2 linked regions of the Rattus norvegicus genome follow. The protein of the gene in region 1 interacts with the protein of each later gene in a biochemical or structural test. Links are inferred from orthologs where the notes say so. Each region holds a gene or a part of one and is shown on either strand. Other genes may lie near its edges.

Region 1 (8,210 bases):
AGCCAGAGCAAAGAACTTTCTCTAGGACATCAATATCATGAACAAGTTATTGGAAACTATAGGGATGTTGGAAAAGGGTCAAGAATGTACCTCAGGGCACTGGAGAAATAACTTACCACACTGCCATCACAGGGTTTCTCTGTGTAGCTCTGGCTATCCTAGAACTAACTGTAGACCAAGTTGGCCTTGTAGATTCACCTGCCTCTACCTCCCCAGGTGCTGGGATTAAATGAGCCACCACCCCCTGTAAGATGCCTTTTTTTTTTTATTTATCCCTTTAAAAAAAAAAGACTTATTTATTTTATATATGTGAATATACTGTTGCTGTCTTCAGATACACCAGAAGAGGACATCAGATGCCCATTACAGATGGTTGTGAGCCACCATGTTGGTGCTGGGAATTGAACTCAGGACCTCTGGAAGAGCAGAGCCATCTCTTCAGCCCCTACTTATTCTTTTTTTTTTTTTTTTTTTTGGTTCTTTTTTTCGGAGCTGGGGACCGAACCCAGGGCCTTGCGCTTCCTAGGTAAGCGCTCTACCACTGAGCTAAATCCCCAGCCCCTCTTTTTTTATACAATATATTCTGACTGGGGCTTCTCCTCCCTCCACTTCTCCCAGTCTTCCCCCACCCAACTCCTTTCTCCCCCCAGATCCAGTGTTTCTCTTTTTCCACATCTGCTCCCATTAGCTTCTGGGAAGCCTCTGTGTTTGGGCTAGGAATAGTGTTCTTAAGAAAACTAGCTGCGGGGGTTGGGGATTTAGCTCAGTGGTAGAGCGCTTGCCTAGGAGCGCAAGGCCCTGGGTTCGGTCCCCAGCTCTGGAAAAAAAAAAAAAAAAGAAAACTAGCTGCGGGGTGGGCATTTAGCTCAGTGGTAGAGCGCTTGTCTAGCAAGCAAAAGGCCCTGGGTTCGGTCCCCAGCTCCGAAAAAAAAGAAAAAGAAAAAGAAAAAAAAAAAAAAAGGCAGAAGGGAAGAGCCTCCCCAGAAGTTCATATGAACAACCTTAACTAAACTCAGTAGGTTAGAGGCTGGGGGGGAAAAAAATCACTCAATGATTAGAGCACTAGCTGCTCTTCTAAAGGACCCAGAATGGGCTTCCAGCACCCACACAGTAGCTAACAGCTGTGCACTGTAGTGTAGGTGCTGAGAATCAAAGCTAGTATTCTGGAAAGTGTTCTTAAGCAATGAGTCTCCGTGAGTATATGCTTGACCCTTTTATTTTTCAATATTCCTAGGTTTTCCAATAACTTGTTCCTGATGTTGATGTCCTATAGAGATCTTTCCTTTGTCAAGGGCTCTGATATCTGCATGGAAGTGGCCTCTGTAGTTAACTCCAGGGAAGCCAATGTCCTCTTCCAGCCTCTGCAGGCACCAGACATACACATGATAGAAAAATAAACACATAGGCAAAATACTCAGACACAGAAAAAAAATAAACTCTTAAAAACAAAGAGTAGGGAGCTGAGAGATGGCTCAGGGCTTAAGAGCACTGGCTGCTTTCCCAGAGGTCCTGACTTCAATTCCCAGCAACCACATGGTGGCTCACAACCACCCTTAATTGGATCCAATGACCTCTTCTGGTGTGTCAGCAACAGTGTGCTCATATACATAAAATAAATAAATCTTTAAAAAAAAAAAAAAAGAGTAGGGCTAGAGAGATGGCTCAACGGTTTAGAGCACTGGCTGCTCTTACAGAGGTCCTGAGTTCAAATCCCACAGTGGTTCAAGATTATCTATAAAGGAATCTGATGCCCCCTTCTGGCATGCAGGTGTACATGCACCAGAGCACTTATACATTAAATAAAGTAAGTAAACAAAGTAAATAAGTAAAAACAAAAGAGTAATGAAAGGGGCACACAATCACAATACACTGTGTATTATATGTATAAAATTGCCAGAAAATTTAGAATTTAAAGAAAAAAGGGGTTGGGGATTTAGCTCAGTGGTAGAGCGCTTGCCTATCAAGCGCAAGGCCCTGGGTTCGGTCCCCAGTTCTGAAAAAAAGAAAAGGAAAAAAAAAAAAGAAAGAAAGAAAAAAGAAAAACAAAAATACCCAGAAACCAGTTCCTACAGAGAGTAGAATGTGGAAGTGTGAGCAACCCCAAAATCTAACCAGACCCCTGAAAAACCACGTGAAATCTGCCACTTGCTGTACAATTGATGGTTACAGAGCCAGATGTTGTGGCCAACACCTGTAATCCTGGCAATTGGGAAGGGGAGGCTTCAATTACACAAAGTTTTCAAAGCCATCCTGGGCTACATGAGATTCTCGAAAAATAAAGAATTCTTACAAATATGATGTAAAGTCTCTTAAAAACAACTACCATCTTCTGCACTCTGAATTTAGGAAATGCTAGTTTCTTTGGGGAAAAAAAAAAACACCTCAAGGAACTTCTAGATTCAGGGTCTGGTGCAGGTTCCACATTAGAGTCCTCCAATATAACTAGTGTTTGAAGCAGGAGGAATCCAAGTTCCAGATCAGCTAAGAGTATACCTTAAAAAGGGAAAGAAGCGGGGCTGGGGATTTAGCTCAGTCGTAGAGCGCTTACCTAGGAAGCGTAAGGCCCTGGGTTCGGTCCCCAGCTCCGAAAAAAAAGAACCAAAAAGAAAAAAAAAAAAAAAAAAAAGGGAAAGAAGCCAAACATTGTGACCCACAACTTAATTCCAGACAGTGGCAGAGTTCTGAAAGCCAGCCTGGTCTTTTCAGTGTGTTCTAGATCATTCAGAACTACACTTTGAGACACTGTTTCAGTAAACAAATACATAAATAAATAAATAAATAGAACCAAGTGTAGTAGTACACCGTTTAAGGGAAGAGGATCTGAGCTACACAGAGTTTAAGGCCAGACTGGGATTGAAACCCTGTTTCTCTTAGTGTTTGGTCTGCCTATATATAGACAAAACGAATAAAAGGAGGGCTAAGGATACTGATTAGTTGATAAAGTGCTTGTCTATCCTTCCACACTCAAAAAGATCACCCAGACTGAGGCTGAGGCAGAATTCAAAACTTCAAGTCAGTCTGGGCAACTTGGCAAACCATCTCAAAAAAATAACAAGGGATGGGAATATAGCTCTGTGGGAGAACAGAAAGCCGGGCACACTATGTATGTAGTGGAGGATGACCTTGAACCTCTCTGATCCTCTTACCTTAAACAATGTACTACTACACTTGGTTCTATTTATTTACCTTTTGTCAGACCTTAAGTTCAACCCTAGAACCAAAAAAAAAAAAAAAAAAAAAAAAAAAGTAAACCGTAAACATCTGTGAGGCAGGCATGGTGGGTGGCACATGCCTGCCTGCAATGCTGAGCTTGGGAAGCTGACACAGTAAGACTGACTGAAGCCAGCCTGGGCTGACCCTATAAGGGAGAATTAGCCTTTCCAAGGGACAAACTCCCCAAATGGCTAGCCAATCCCAAATGGTATGCTTTACAAACTAATACATAACACTAAATGAACTCAGCAAGTTGCATGAATTTGGCGAGAGGAGTGGATGACAGGTGAGTGGCTGGAGGAAGGAGATCAATTATATTTGAATTAAAATAAAAGGTCATTGGGTAGAGATTTTTCAGGCATAGATAAGTCATCAGCACCACACAAGCACAAAAAAAGATTCATAACTTTCAAAGAAATCTACCTAATTTCTAGTATCTAATACCTAATATCAAGTGACCCTAGTAAAAAGGAATACATTAAAGAGACAGTCCAAGTACGGTTCACTGAAAAATCCCCACTCCAGTCACTGTGTTTGAGGCACTTAATAAAATGATCTCTCTCTCTCTCTCTCTCTCTCTCTCTCTCTCTCTCTCTCTCTCTCACACACACACACACACACACACACACACACACACACACACACACACACACACACACACGGGACACGGGAGACAAGTACCCACATGAAAGAGATGGAAAACAAGGCCTCAAAGTTTAACTCACTCGGGGTTAGCACAGCCAACTTCAGATTCAAACCTCAGCTGTCATACTGTCCTAACCACCACAATGAATTAACAAGTCAGGGTAGGTGTGCGGGCTAGAAAACTGGGTAAACAATAAGCAGCAAGCTGCAAGAACAGACTGATCGTATTTAAAAAAAAAAAAAAAATAGGGCACCAGGGTAGCCTGACTACTGACTCACATTTAAAGGAAGAGTCCGGCTGCCAAACTGAACTGACAGGCATCAACCACCCTCAAAGTTGAAAGGAAATCTTGTCACCTCACCCCTGAGCCACAGGTCCTCCAACGCCAGAATCCGGGCGACTCTGGAGTCCCCGGGTCCCGCGGCGTCCCGCGCCCCCTGCCCGCGCGGCCACCGCTACCTACGGACGTAGGGCTCCTCGCGGCCTCCCGCCCCCGGGCTGAGGCCTAGGCCGGGGCCGCCCACCCTGACCCACCGCGTCGCCTCCCGGCCCGAGGCCCCGCACTAACCGTTGTATGACTTCCCTTCGTCCGCCATGGCACAGGCAGGTACAGGGGCGGGCTCAGGCGCAGAACCTGACGCCACCAAACACCCGGACGCCTTGGCGCTCAGGACAGAAGCTCTCCTACGACCGGCGCCACCGCATTTATCCGGCGAAGCACGTCGCGCGCAGCCGACGTCCCCAGGATGTGGGCGGTGCCGCGGGGCAGGAACGCGCTCTCTGAGCCTGCGCAGAAGCAGGGCGGCCGCTCGGAGGCGTGGCCAGGCCCTCCGAGGCCCGCCCACGGCCGGAGCTCGGGGCGCGATGGCTTGTAGGTCGGCCCCGCCTTCCTACTTCTCCGCTGGCCCGCAGCGCTGAGGTTTGCGCTGGAGCTGAGCGGTCTGCTTTAGCCCTGAACTCAGGAGCAGGGACGAGAGCTACACAGAAGAATGGAGACCTGGCCTCTGAACGGGAGTAACGGATCACAGTCCACGCAGGTGGGATCCCGGCAGCGTGTAAGTCGCAGCGCAGTTCCTTGCCAGCCGCCGGCTTATGCCCTCCCAGCCTTTCTCGCCTCTACGACGGATTATGACGAAATAGAAAATTGGAATGTAAGCCCCACTGGAACAGGAACCTTAACTTATGCGCAACTTTTCTTCCTCCAGCGTGCCTGGCACAGTATCATGCCCATTGTGAAACCCAAGTGTGAATTAAGCGAAATCCTGTCCTGTTCCCTTGTAGGTCTTCTACAAATTGCCTAATTAAAGCGTCAGGCGAGCTGTAGTGGCGCAGGTCTTTAAACCCGTATTTGGAAGGCAGAGGCAGGTGGATCTTTAAATTTGAGGCCAGTCTCAGCTCTATAGAAATTTCTAGAATAGCCAGAGCTTGTAGAGGCCCTGCCTCAAAAAAAAAAAAAAAAAAAAAGCTTTAGTCTTAGTACCAGTATTTTTGTCGACATAGCCAGTACAGAGATAGCGAAGGCTACATAGACGGTCTCAAAACAAAATTAGTAATCTAGTGAGCTATGATCTTCACCCCCAAGGCCCTGGCCATCATGCTGAAGCCTAATTGGTAAAACCCAGGTTAGCTAGGTAGGTAGGGAAAGTTGCTAGTATTGAGTGGTTTTGTTTGAGACAGGGTTTCTGTATAATTCTGGCTGTCCTGAAACTTGCTTTGTAGACCAAGTTGGCCTCAAACTCAAGAGATCCACTTGCGAGGTTGGGGATTTAGCTCAGTGGTAGAGCGCTTGCCTAGCAAGCACAAGGCCCTGGGTTCAGTCCCCAGCTCCGGAATAAAAAAAAAAAAAAAAAAATAATAATAATAATAATAATAAAAGAGATCCACTTGCTTCTAACTCCCAAGTGCTGGTTGAAATTTTTAGATGGCAAACCCAAGAGCTCTTCTAGTAAACCTTTGGTGTGACTAGGACTCTCCTCCATTCCTTGGACCCAGATGCTGCTGTAGGAGGGGAATCAGATGGGGCACTGGTAGGCACGGAGCATGACTTTAACACAGATCAGAAAGACAAAACAACTCATTAATCTCCCTTGAGGGTCTGTGTTAGGTGGGTCACCTCCATTTTGCAGTGGTTTTGCTCAGGATCTTAGAAGGTGCCAAAGAGCTGGGTACAAATTGGAGCTGGGCACAAATGCTCTTCACCCAGCAGCAGAGCTCTTGCTTCACTCAGTTCAAAAATCAGGACCAGGTGATTTGAAGATACAGGTTAAACAGGCTCAAACTGTTTGGGACAGCCCTAGAAGTTGACACCCAATAATGAGTCCACTTAGCTCCAGTTCAAAGGAAAATTCTAATTTAGTGCTGTTGTTACTTGGCCACTCCCTTTTAAGAGGGAGTTGTGGGTACAGAGCTCCAAAGCTGCTCTGCCTATCAATGGGGGCTGTCAAAGCCACCAACTTAACCCTTTTGGTTCTGGTATTAAGCAGTGGTTTGCTGGCTGCGGAAGCCCACGACGATCCCACCCAGAAACGACAACATCACTAGTGAGGCTGACAGTCTTGCTGTAATTGGGAGGAAACAGGCTGCAGCATGTTTGGCAGATTGAGAGTCACCAGTAGCCAAAGTCAGGTTTGTGCAACTGTAGGGCTCAGAGCCCCCCCCACCTCACATGGTGAGGAGAAGGTGGCAGTCAAGTTCTAGATGACCCAGATGATTAAGTTGGTCCCTGGGATAGTTTTACTTCCTCACCTCACTCTCCAGAAGGCAAGGAAGGGCATTGTTTCCTCTTGCTGCCAGTTACCTTTAGGGGAGGCTGGTCTGGGTTTATAAAAATCTCATGGTAGAGACAACCTCCCCACTGGCCCTAGCTGGCTTCTGTTCCCTGCCACTTCACAGCAGAGGCCAAATCCAGAACCAGTGTGTTTCATGGGCCTGAGGGTAGGACAGAGTGGCCAGAGACAAGGGTGGGGAATCAGGGACACTGGCCATTCTTAGCAGTTCCAAGGAAATGGCCTTTCTCCCAACTACCCTGCACAGGCTCAGTGGCAATAGTGGCCACCTGTCCTTCCAGAAGGGTTCCAGGCCCTCCATGGAGTGGCTCAGAATGAGGGAGGAGGGTTCAGGCAAGGAAGACCACAAAGATGATGAAGAAGACAATGAGGATGAGGAAGATTTTGACCATGAGCCACCGATTGGAGGTGACTGACTGGAAGTACTTGAGGATCTCTGAATGGGCGGCCTCAACATCCAGCTGGGCTCCAAGCACATTCTCGTCAATCCTGGAAACAGGAGATAAAACAGAGAGGAACACTGGGTTGAAGAAGGTTAAAGACATCCATTTATTGATATGGGAAGCTGATCACAATATGTAGAAGTAAAAAGTATTTGATACTACGTTAACTGTGTGTGTGTGTGTGTGTGTATACACATACATACATACATACATACATACATACACACACACACACACACACACATATCAAGTTTTTTGAGGGTAGTAGATCATGTTTGATTCTAGCTTTAAAGTGTCCTGCCAGTTATTAGCTTATGATTGAATTATTTAACCAGTCTTATTTTCCACATCTAAAAAATGAGATAAATGATATAAACCCTACTCCTTTCATGAGATTTCTTATTTATCTGTTTTTTTTTTTTATTTAAAGACTTATTTATTTTATGTATGTGAGTACACTGTCACTGTCTTCAGCCACACCAGAAGAGGGTAGGAGATCCCATTACAGATGGTTGAGAGCCACCATGTGGTTGCTGGGAATTGAACTCAGGACCTCTGGAAGAGCAGTCAGTGCTCTTAATCACTGAGCCATCTCTCCAGCTCCTCATGAGGTTTTAATTTTCAGTGAGTTAAATGAGCCTCCAATCTATATGAGTACCCCAAATGCTGTAAGTTTTACTCATAAACATTTCCTGCTTTTTTTTTCCAATAATGAATATGTATTGCATTGTGATTAATGGGGAGAGAAGTTCAAACCATTATAGTCAGAAAATCCTTGTTGGGTGATGGGAACATCTTAATATAGACAGGAACTCAAAGAATAATACAACTCTTACATCCAGGGAACATTATCTTGGGGGAACAACTCCTCAGAGGAAGGACAATTTTGAAAACTCACTGAGGCAAACAAAACTTCCAGCCAATCTACATATACAACCCTTCTATTTTTGGTTGTGAGCCTAGCATTTAATGGCTGAGCCATCTCTCTAGCCCTACATATATAGTCCTAAAACCCAAATATTGTGGCTGGGTAGATAACTCAGTATTAAAGTGCTTACTTGGCAACCAAGAGGACCTGAATTTGGATTCTAGCACCCACAGAGCAAGCTGGCCACAGTCTTT
Region 2 (7,771 bases), on another chromosome or scaffold:
AGTCCAGACTGGAAGGCGAGGGACACATAAGGCCCTACCCCGAGTTGAGGACCTACTGGAAGTTAATGGCTACTGGAGCAGGGGAGTCATTTTTCTTCAGAAGTGTATTTATGGGTAAGTTGTTTGTGATCCAGTAAAAGCAACCCCATACCTATGCTCATAAAGGTTAATCAAACTATTAAACTCAGTCACTAAAAGAGAAACAGAAAGCAGGAGGGGGTTGTTGGAAAGAAGGGTTCCAGAGAGGAAGAAAAGACAGGAGATAGACTTGTGTGTGATTCTGATCAAAATACATTATTACATACATGCATGTGCACACACAAAAAAGTCAATAAATATATTAACAATTTTTAAAAAAATGTTTCCCCATTGAGGAAATGGAGAAAATTCTATGTAAACACAGCTGTTTTTTGGTATTCATAAGGAATCTGTGAGGATATAAAATCTGAGGCTGTAGCAGTCTCGTTCAGGACGTGGTGTGGTGTTTGAGTCCGTGTGTCCAGCCTCCCCTTATCTTCCATCATTTGGGGATGCCTTATGGTACACTGCAGTATACTGGAGAGACTATGTCAACCAGCTGCTACTTTGTACTGCTGAGGGATAATGACAAGAAAAAGTACACTGCCAGTACAGATTTTTCCTTATTAGTTCAATCCATGGCAGGCTACATCTGCAGGTACAGAACCCATCCATGCGGAGGGCCAGGTGAAAGGCCCTTGCCTCACTGTTAGCATTTTAAAGTAACATAAATTATGAAGTCTTCTCTCTTACCAGGTGGTGGGACCTGCCATGGTAGCGCGCCCTCACGATCTTGGCTAACGAGAGTACTTTCCGGTGACCTACCCTAGGAGTCTGTCTCCCTGATTACAACTCAAGCCCTGGATTCCACCAGGGAGGATGATCTTCGGGCAGGCATCACCAGAAGTGAGGCAAGTGATACACAACTGTAACTAAGGGGCCGATTAGAGGGGTGAGAACAGACAAACGTTAATTCCTCAACTCGTCCTGGATGCGGCCCCAGGGTGCACCCAAGCACTGTGTTTAAACCAGACCCTCAGGAGGCTCCGACTTTGCTGACTGCTCAGCCTCAGATTTATCAGCCTCACTGACGACTTGGGTCACTGATGGTTGCACAGACTTTTTATTCCTGTCCTCAATGCTCAGGACAAGCAATGGCAAAATTTTATTCTGAGTCTTAGGCCTTCTCCCTGCCCATTAAATGCCCATTACCCAGATGGGTCACTTGTTTGCACAGCCTCAGGGCATGGGACAGAGGTAGGGTGGGATGGTGGTGTTCAGAGTCGTTTTCTCTGCCTACTGTGTCTTTATAGTTGTTTTGGTAGGAATTTAACACTCATTAAAAGAAGGGAAACATTTCCTTTTAACAAATTACAAGTTGTTTCAAATTATCACTGAAAAAATAAATAAGCAATTATGTGCAATCCTGTCTACCAAGAAGCCGTCGACACTGTGTCTCTCCAAGGGCCTAACTGTAAAGAATTACCTCTCTTCTTTGTCTTGCTTTTTTTCGTGTAGGGTTTCTCTGTGTAGCCCTGGCTGTCCTGGTACTCCAGTTGTAGACCAGGCTGGCCTTGAACTCCCTGAGATCCTCCTGCCTCTGCCTCTTGAGTGCTGGGATTAAAGGTGTGTGCCAGCACCACCTGGCAAGAATTACCTTTCGTGAGAGAACCACTAGAGGCCAAAACTGGACCTCACCTCATTACCATGTCCACTGGGAACTTTTATTAAGTAAAAGTAGATGCTAAGATCGGATACAGAATGAAGCATCCAGTTTTCTCTTCAAAAATAGTATAATGTGTGTGTGCCTTGTGTATGTGTAACTGCTATTCAAAGTAGCAATATCCCTGCTTCCCACAAGAAAGATGGCATCAAAAAAAAAAAAAATTAAAACTATCCGCAGAGCAATCAATTAACTCAATGGGCAGACCTGGTCCTTCCTACTCTCGCACCTGCACCATCTACCATTGGTCAGACTACCCGAGTCTGACAGTTTTGGGGTCTCTAATGTGCTTTCCAAATTACAAAAACACATTGTAATTAAGAGTTAAATTACTTGCTGTGGCCTTAAACAAACAGGTGTGCTTTTTCAACCTGTGAAATTGGTAGTCTGTGGTCAGCAAGGTAGAGAGCTTGCTGAGGAAGAGAATCAGAGCAATACTGAGCAACGGGGGGCAGCCAATCAGGACAAAGCAGGTCCTACCATACGGGAACCAAGCACCCTCCTTCATCTTGGATTATTAGTTTTTGAGACAGGATTTCATATACCCTGGGATGGCTTTGAATGTATTATGTACCCAAGAGCCTTGAACCCCTGATCCTCCTGTCTCTGCCCTCTAGGTGAGGATTATAGGCATGCACTACAACACCCAGCTCCTCCCGTTTAATTATAACAGTGGGGACTTGTTATAAATGCTTTAAATAGCACAGAGGAGAACAAAGTCAAAATGTTCCGCAAATTCTTACCGGAGGCTTGACAAAAGCTAAACCCTGAAGGTGCTGCTGTAGAGGTAGTGGCCGAGGTGCTACCAAACACAGAGCCTCCCTGCCCAAAGCCCGGGCTCTGACCAAAAGCAGGAGGGTTGTTTTGGCCAAATAGCGTCCCTCCTGTATTGGTAGAAGCCTGTCCAAATGAGAAGGAACCAGGGCTGCTGGTACTTGAGGTGGCTCCGAAGACATTGGCACTGGTGGATGTGGGGGTGGAGGAGACAGACTGGCCAAAAGCAGGGACAGAGCTGAACCCAGGTTGGCTGAAGGAGAAGCCACTCGCAGGGCTGCTTGTTGCTTGCCCAAAGGCTGGGGACTGCCCAAATGCTGTCTGTCCGAACACTCCAGGAGCCGAAGCACCAAACGCAGGGCTGCCAAATCCTGAACTGCTGGCCTGTGGCGTGGCAGCGGCTGTGCTGGCTATGCTGGCTGCCACTTGCCCAAACACGGGGGTGGCGGAGGGTGCAGTGGCCGTGTTACTGGAGAGCTGGTTGAATGCTGAGCTCGAACTGGCAGCAGGCGGCTGTGTAAAGACTGAGGAGCCAGAAGTGGCAGTCCCAAATACAGCTGTCTCTGTGGCAGGAGTTGGGGTACTGCTGGAGACAGTGCTGGAGGTACTAGGGGTACCGGAAGCTTCACTGGCTGCCGAGCCTGCTCCTAGGAGAACAGCTGCAACCACGGCCGGCCCAGGCCCTGCAAAGGTGGAAGCAGGGGACACTGCTTCTGTCTTGCTATCAGGGCCCCCTGGGGCGACTGGAGTGGATTCTGTGGATGCCACAAGGCTGGCAGAAGATGATGGTCTGCTGTCTGTGGTCTGCGCAGGAACAGGTTCTTTTTTGACAGGGTCAGAAGTTTGCAGAGATGCCTGGGGAAGCTGGGCTGACGGTGGCTGTAGTGGAAGTGAGGGTGTTGATGCTGACACTTCACTGTGGTCTGACTTGTCAGGCACAGCTGGTGGTGTGGCCTCCTCTGTGATCTTACCAGAAGACACAGGCAGGGAAGAAGCTGATGGTGAACTCAGGAGGCCACCAAATGACAAAGTAGGGAAAGATGCTGGAAGGGAAGGGGCAACTGAGGTGGATGCTGGGGTAGCTGCTGCTGCTGCTGCACTACTAGTCTGTTGGTTTCCAAATGAGAAACTAGCTTTGCTACTAGCCAAAGAGGCCCCACTAAAACTCATGAGCCCGGAAGGTGCAGCACTGGTAAGGGGCACACTGCCAAAGACAGTTGCCGAGGAACTGCTAGTGCTCGCACTCAGAGCTGAGACTGGTGCCGCTGGGGCAGAGGACGTCACACTGGGCTCCACTGGCTTCCCTAACACGGAAGCAGCAGGAAAGCTAAACCCTGAGGGCTTGGCTGGCTGGGCTCCGGCCAGGTTTGTGGAGGAGGCCTTACTAACGGGCTTTGTAGACTCCTCAGCCTGGCCAACACGCAGTCCTGAGAAGCTCCCTAGCGTCTCTCCAGCTAGAGAACTTGGGAAGAGAAGCTCTCCTAACTTGGATGGTGGAGTTTCCAATTTGCTAGAGGCAGTGGACACAGGAGTTTCAGGAGTTGCAGGTTTGCTGCTGGTTGGAGCAGAGTCTTCCAGAGACGTAGTTGTTACAGAAGTGCTGGGTGCTGATGGGGGTCCCGTGGCAGGGGGGTTTCCAGGAATGGTCTCACAAAAAGGTTTGCCTCCCCCGCCAAATGAGAACGCCTCAAGCTGGTTTGACTCTTTAGTGGGGGGTGCTGCCCCTAGCAAGAAAAAGAAACCAGGAAAAGAGTTGGACTTAGCAGAATAGAATTCATTGCACTTCCACTGACTGCCCCTCTAAGGCAATCTTTTTCTTCAGTCAGGGAAGAGACTTATGGCTCTAACAGCAGGGTTCTCTCCAAAGGGTGGATTGGCCACTTGCTCTGCACAGAAGCGTTAGCCCTGACAGAGTCAGCTCTCAAGGGGGAAGGAATGAAGATTTTGTTTATGATCACTATATCACAACAACACGTGACATCTAGGATACATGAAACGGACACATTTTCCCCAAAGAAAAGTACAACAGCACCTACCTGTGCTACTTGCTAGGCTGCGCTCAACACAGTGCCCTGGGCAATGGCTTCCCTCCCACTGTGGGCACCAGCTAATCTATGAACAATCCTCATAGCCCAATTGGACCAAGACTGGAAGCCCTTCACTGTTCAAGGTCAGAGTCACCCGTAGATGGTAATTTCTACTACAATTAAGCGTTTACCAGGGCCTTACTGAGCATGGCATTGTATTACTGGTGATGTTGCTTACGGCACTGGGTTGTCACCCACTGCTGTACTGATCCGGAGTTAATGTAGGATCACTGCATCTTATCCTGACTATTTCCTAAAGACTTGCTTCTCAAAGTAAAGGAGACACCATGTCTCATAATAAAAAATTGAAAAAAGATTTGTTAAATACAAAGCATTAGGTTCTATTCCCAGCACACACATAGAAAAGGCTTGTTGATTAAGAAACCTAAGATGATGGATGTCTTATTTATCACATGCATAGTCCAAAAACACACTAAAAAGAGTAGACAGACGATAAAAGCATAGCAAGGCCATGGGAGAGAACCGTGAGTCACTAGCATGACTCCCTGACCCCTAGACAGGGTCTTGCCTATGCCTAGCAAGTGTACCAAAGCTACACCCACCTTCCAGTCCTTTCTATTTTATTTAGAGGAGTCCAGTGCTAAGTTGCCCCAGCTGGCCTTGACTAACTCTGTAGTCTAGACAGGCTTTACATTTGAGAGCCTCCTATCTCAACTTCTGTGTAGCTGAGACTCCAAGCCTGTGTCAGCAAGTCCAGCAAAGGTGACAAGAAGACATGAAGTTAATGAGAGCCAGGTAAAGACAAAACTCTGCAAAGAAAAGCACAAATGCAGTAGCTGCTACCGAGTGACTTGAAACTCCATCGTACATTTTATATCCCACAATTTCCTAACAAAAACATGCCACAGTAAAATAAAACAAAAATATATTTAATTACTTAGATAAAGCTGGGAGGAACTTGACAAACTGTTCTCTTTTGGGTGGGTCTGGATTCCTAGCACAGGTATGTGGACCAGTGTTTAGGACCAGGTTTGATCTTTTACCTCCATGGTATATTGTCCACCAAGTTTGCATGTAACATTAGAATGTTATAGCAAACGAGGCTTTGAGAAGCAAGTCTTTTCCCTTTTTATAGTTATGTAAACAGATCTCCTTCACAACAGATTCTTTAAAAATTATTGCATTAAAATATTTTATTTGTGTGTGTTTGCAAGTCACAGAGAATGTGGCAGGCAGAGGGCAGGGCTGGCCCGGGCACTGAGCCCCCTCAGCAGCCCCATATCGAGCTCTGGGTTAAACACTGCTGTGGCTCTGCTGCTGTGAATTCAAGCCAGGGTGTTTGTGTGCTGGGAAGGCGCCCTGCCAAGCCGCTCTCAGCCCTTTCTCGTGTCTCTGATAAACATCATCACTACCAACCTGACTGTACTACAAAGTTACAATGTACCACCCTACACATTCCCATTCAGCGGTTCTTCCAGGAGGGAAGTACGAATGAACACCAATGCAGCACGGGACTGTACCTGGTGTGGCAGTGAAACTAGAAGATGGGGCTGGTGTGATTGTCCCAAAAGTAAAGGTCCTGAGGAGTAGAAAAAGACGAGTTAAAACGGAGCAAACTTAACACAGCATTGGCTTTTAAAGATTCCTCCTTATAATCATTCATACAATATGCCCTTGAAGAATTCACATCTAGTGATCAGCAACAGCTGAGTTAAAATACACATCTCAGAGGTGTCCAGCACCTTCAAGCAGGGCACACACTTTGGAGAGGAGGCAGGAAGGAGCAGCAGCAGCAGGAAGGCTTTGGCTGGATGGCTGGGTTCTCCACAGGAGGCCTGGGAAGACCTGTGTTTTAAAAAGTAAAGTGCAGCAGTAAAAACACACTAGGCCTGTGCAGATGACACTGGAGCAGACACTGCCGAGTGAGTGTGTACAATGAAAGGCAGTCAAGGAGCAGGAGAAGAGGGAGAATCTCTGGGCACCTGCCTTAAGTCAAGGAGCATGTGGGCGGGAGTGCTGCTGTGCAGGGAAGGTGGCAGCAGGAGTACAGAGCGACAGACTGTTAACAGCAGCAGGAATGCAGATTTTCCACTGAATAACTCAAAAATAAGCCTATCTAATTCAGTGCATAATGCCAGGATTCAGTGTTAGAGGACATCTGAACCTGCCTCTACTTAGGGCATTGGCTCAACCCTATCACACACCTTTCTTTCCTTCCTTCCTCCCTTTCATTTTTAAAGGTTTATTTATTTTATTACATATAAGCACACTGTAGCTGTCTTCAGACACACCATAAGAGGTCATCAGATCCATTACAGATGGTTGTGAGCTACCATGTGGTTGTTGGGATTTGAACTCAGGACCTCTGGAAGAGCAGTCAGTGCTCTCAAGCGCTGAGCTATCTCCTAGCCCATAGCACACATCTTTAATCCCTCTGTCGGGAATACAAGCTCTTAGTACTTACCTTTAATCCCAAACAATGAAGCTAAAGTTAGTTTGTAGAAGGAAGCAGCCATGTTTGAAAGTGACATCAGAATAGGATAGGCCCAGCTCTCACAAGAAAAGAGGAAGGGAAGGGAAGCTACTCGAGAGAGAGACAGTACAGGAGGAAGACAGTACAGTACAGGAATACAGTAGAGTTGAGAGGGAGAGTAGAACAGCAAGGAGGGGGAGAAGGAGGCAGTTTTCCTGGGAGAGTTTTACAGAAACAGATTGAAGAGAGAACACAGGTGAAGACAGAACAAGCCAGAGAACGAGGAGCCAGAAGATTAGAACAGATTGCTAGAGTTAGTCTGATGCCAAGCCGAGCACTTCAGAGGCTGAAGAGAAAAGCCAGATTGAATCAGTCAGCTTGGAGAGGAGTTTGAGCCATAAGAGCTGAGTTGAACAAGCCAGAAAGAGCTCAGAGACAGTAGAAAGGGTGAGCTTATTCAGCAGCCAGTCTCAGAGGTTGAAAACATTCTAGGCCTGGATTAGACTGTATGAAGGTGAGAAGCTTCCAGGACTAGGTCTAGGTTAGCAAGCAGGTGGAGGCATTTGATAAAGAAATTTAATCAAAGAGATCAGCCATTGGCTCTCTGACCCAAATCTTTCCAGCTTTCTTTACAAACTGGAAGAGCACTACCCTTTTAGAGACATGAAGATTAATTATTGTATTTGTAAAAGATGCGGTTATCCTTGGCTTTTACCTACGCTCTATACTCATCTC

What was found. The genes of interacting proteins can lie anywhere in the genome.
Region 2: the proteins of Nxf1 (region 1) and Nup214 form a complex in vitro, tested with the Homo sapiens proteins (4 studies listed by BioGRID and IntAct). The link is inferred for Rattus norvegicus from reciprocal best matches to the Homo sapiens genes NXF1 and NUP214.

What each region holds. Positions count from the first base shown.
Region 1 is NC_086019.1:215,080,876-215,089,085, reverse strand, and holds the start of Nxf1 (nuclear RNA export factor 1), read right to left. Parts: upstream 4,524-8,210; 5' UTR 4,456-4,523; coding exon 4,428-4,455; intron 1-4,427. Other genes in the region: Stx5 (syntaxin-5), read right to left, coding at 6,975-7,134.
Region 2 is NC_086021.1:35,709,480-35,717,250, reverse strand, and holds part of Nup214 (nuclear pore complex protein Nup214), read right to left. Parts: intron 6,143-7,771; coding exon 6,084-6,142; intron 4,240-6,083; coding exon 2,485-4,239; intron 1-2,484. UniProt on the Homo sapiens protein: Part of the nuclear pore complex. Has a critical role in nucleocytoplasmic transport.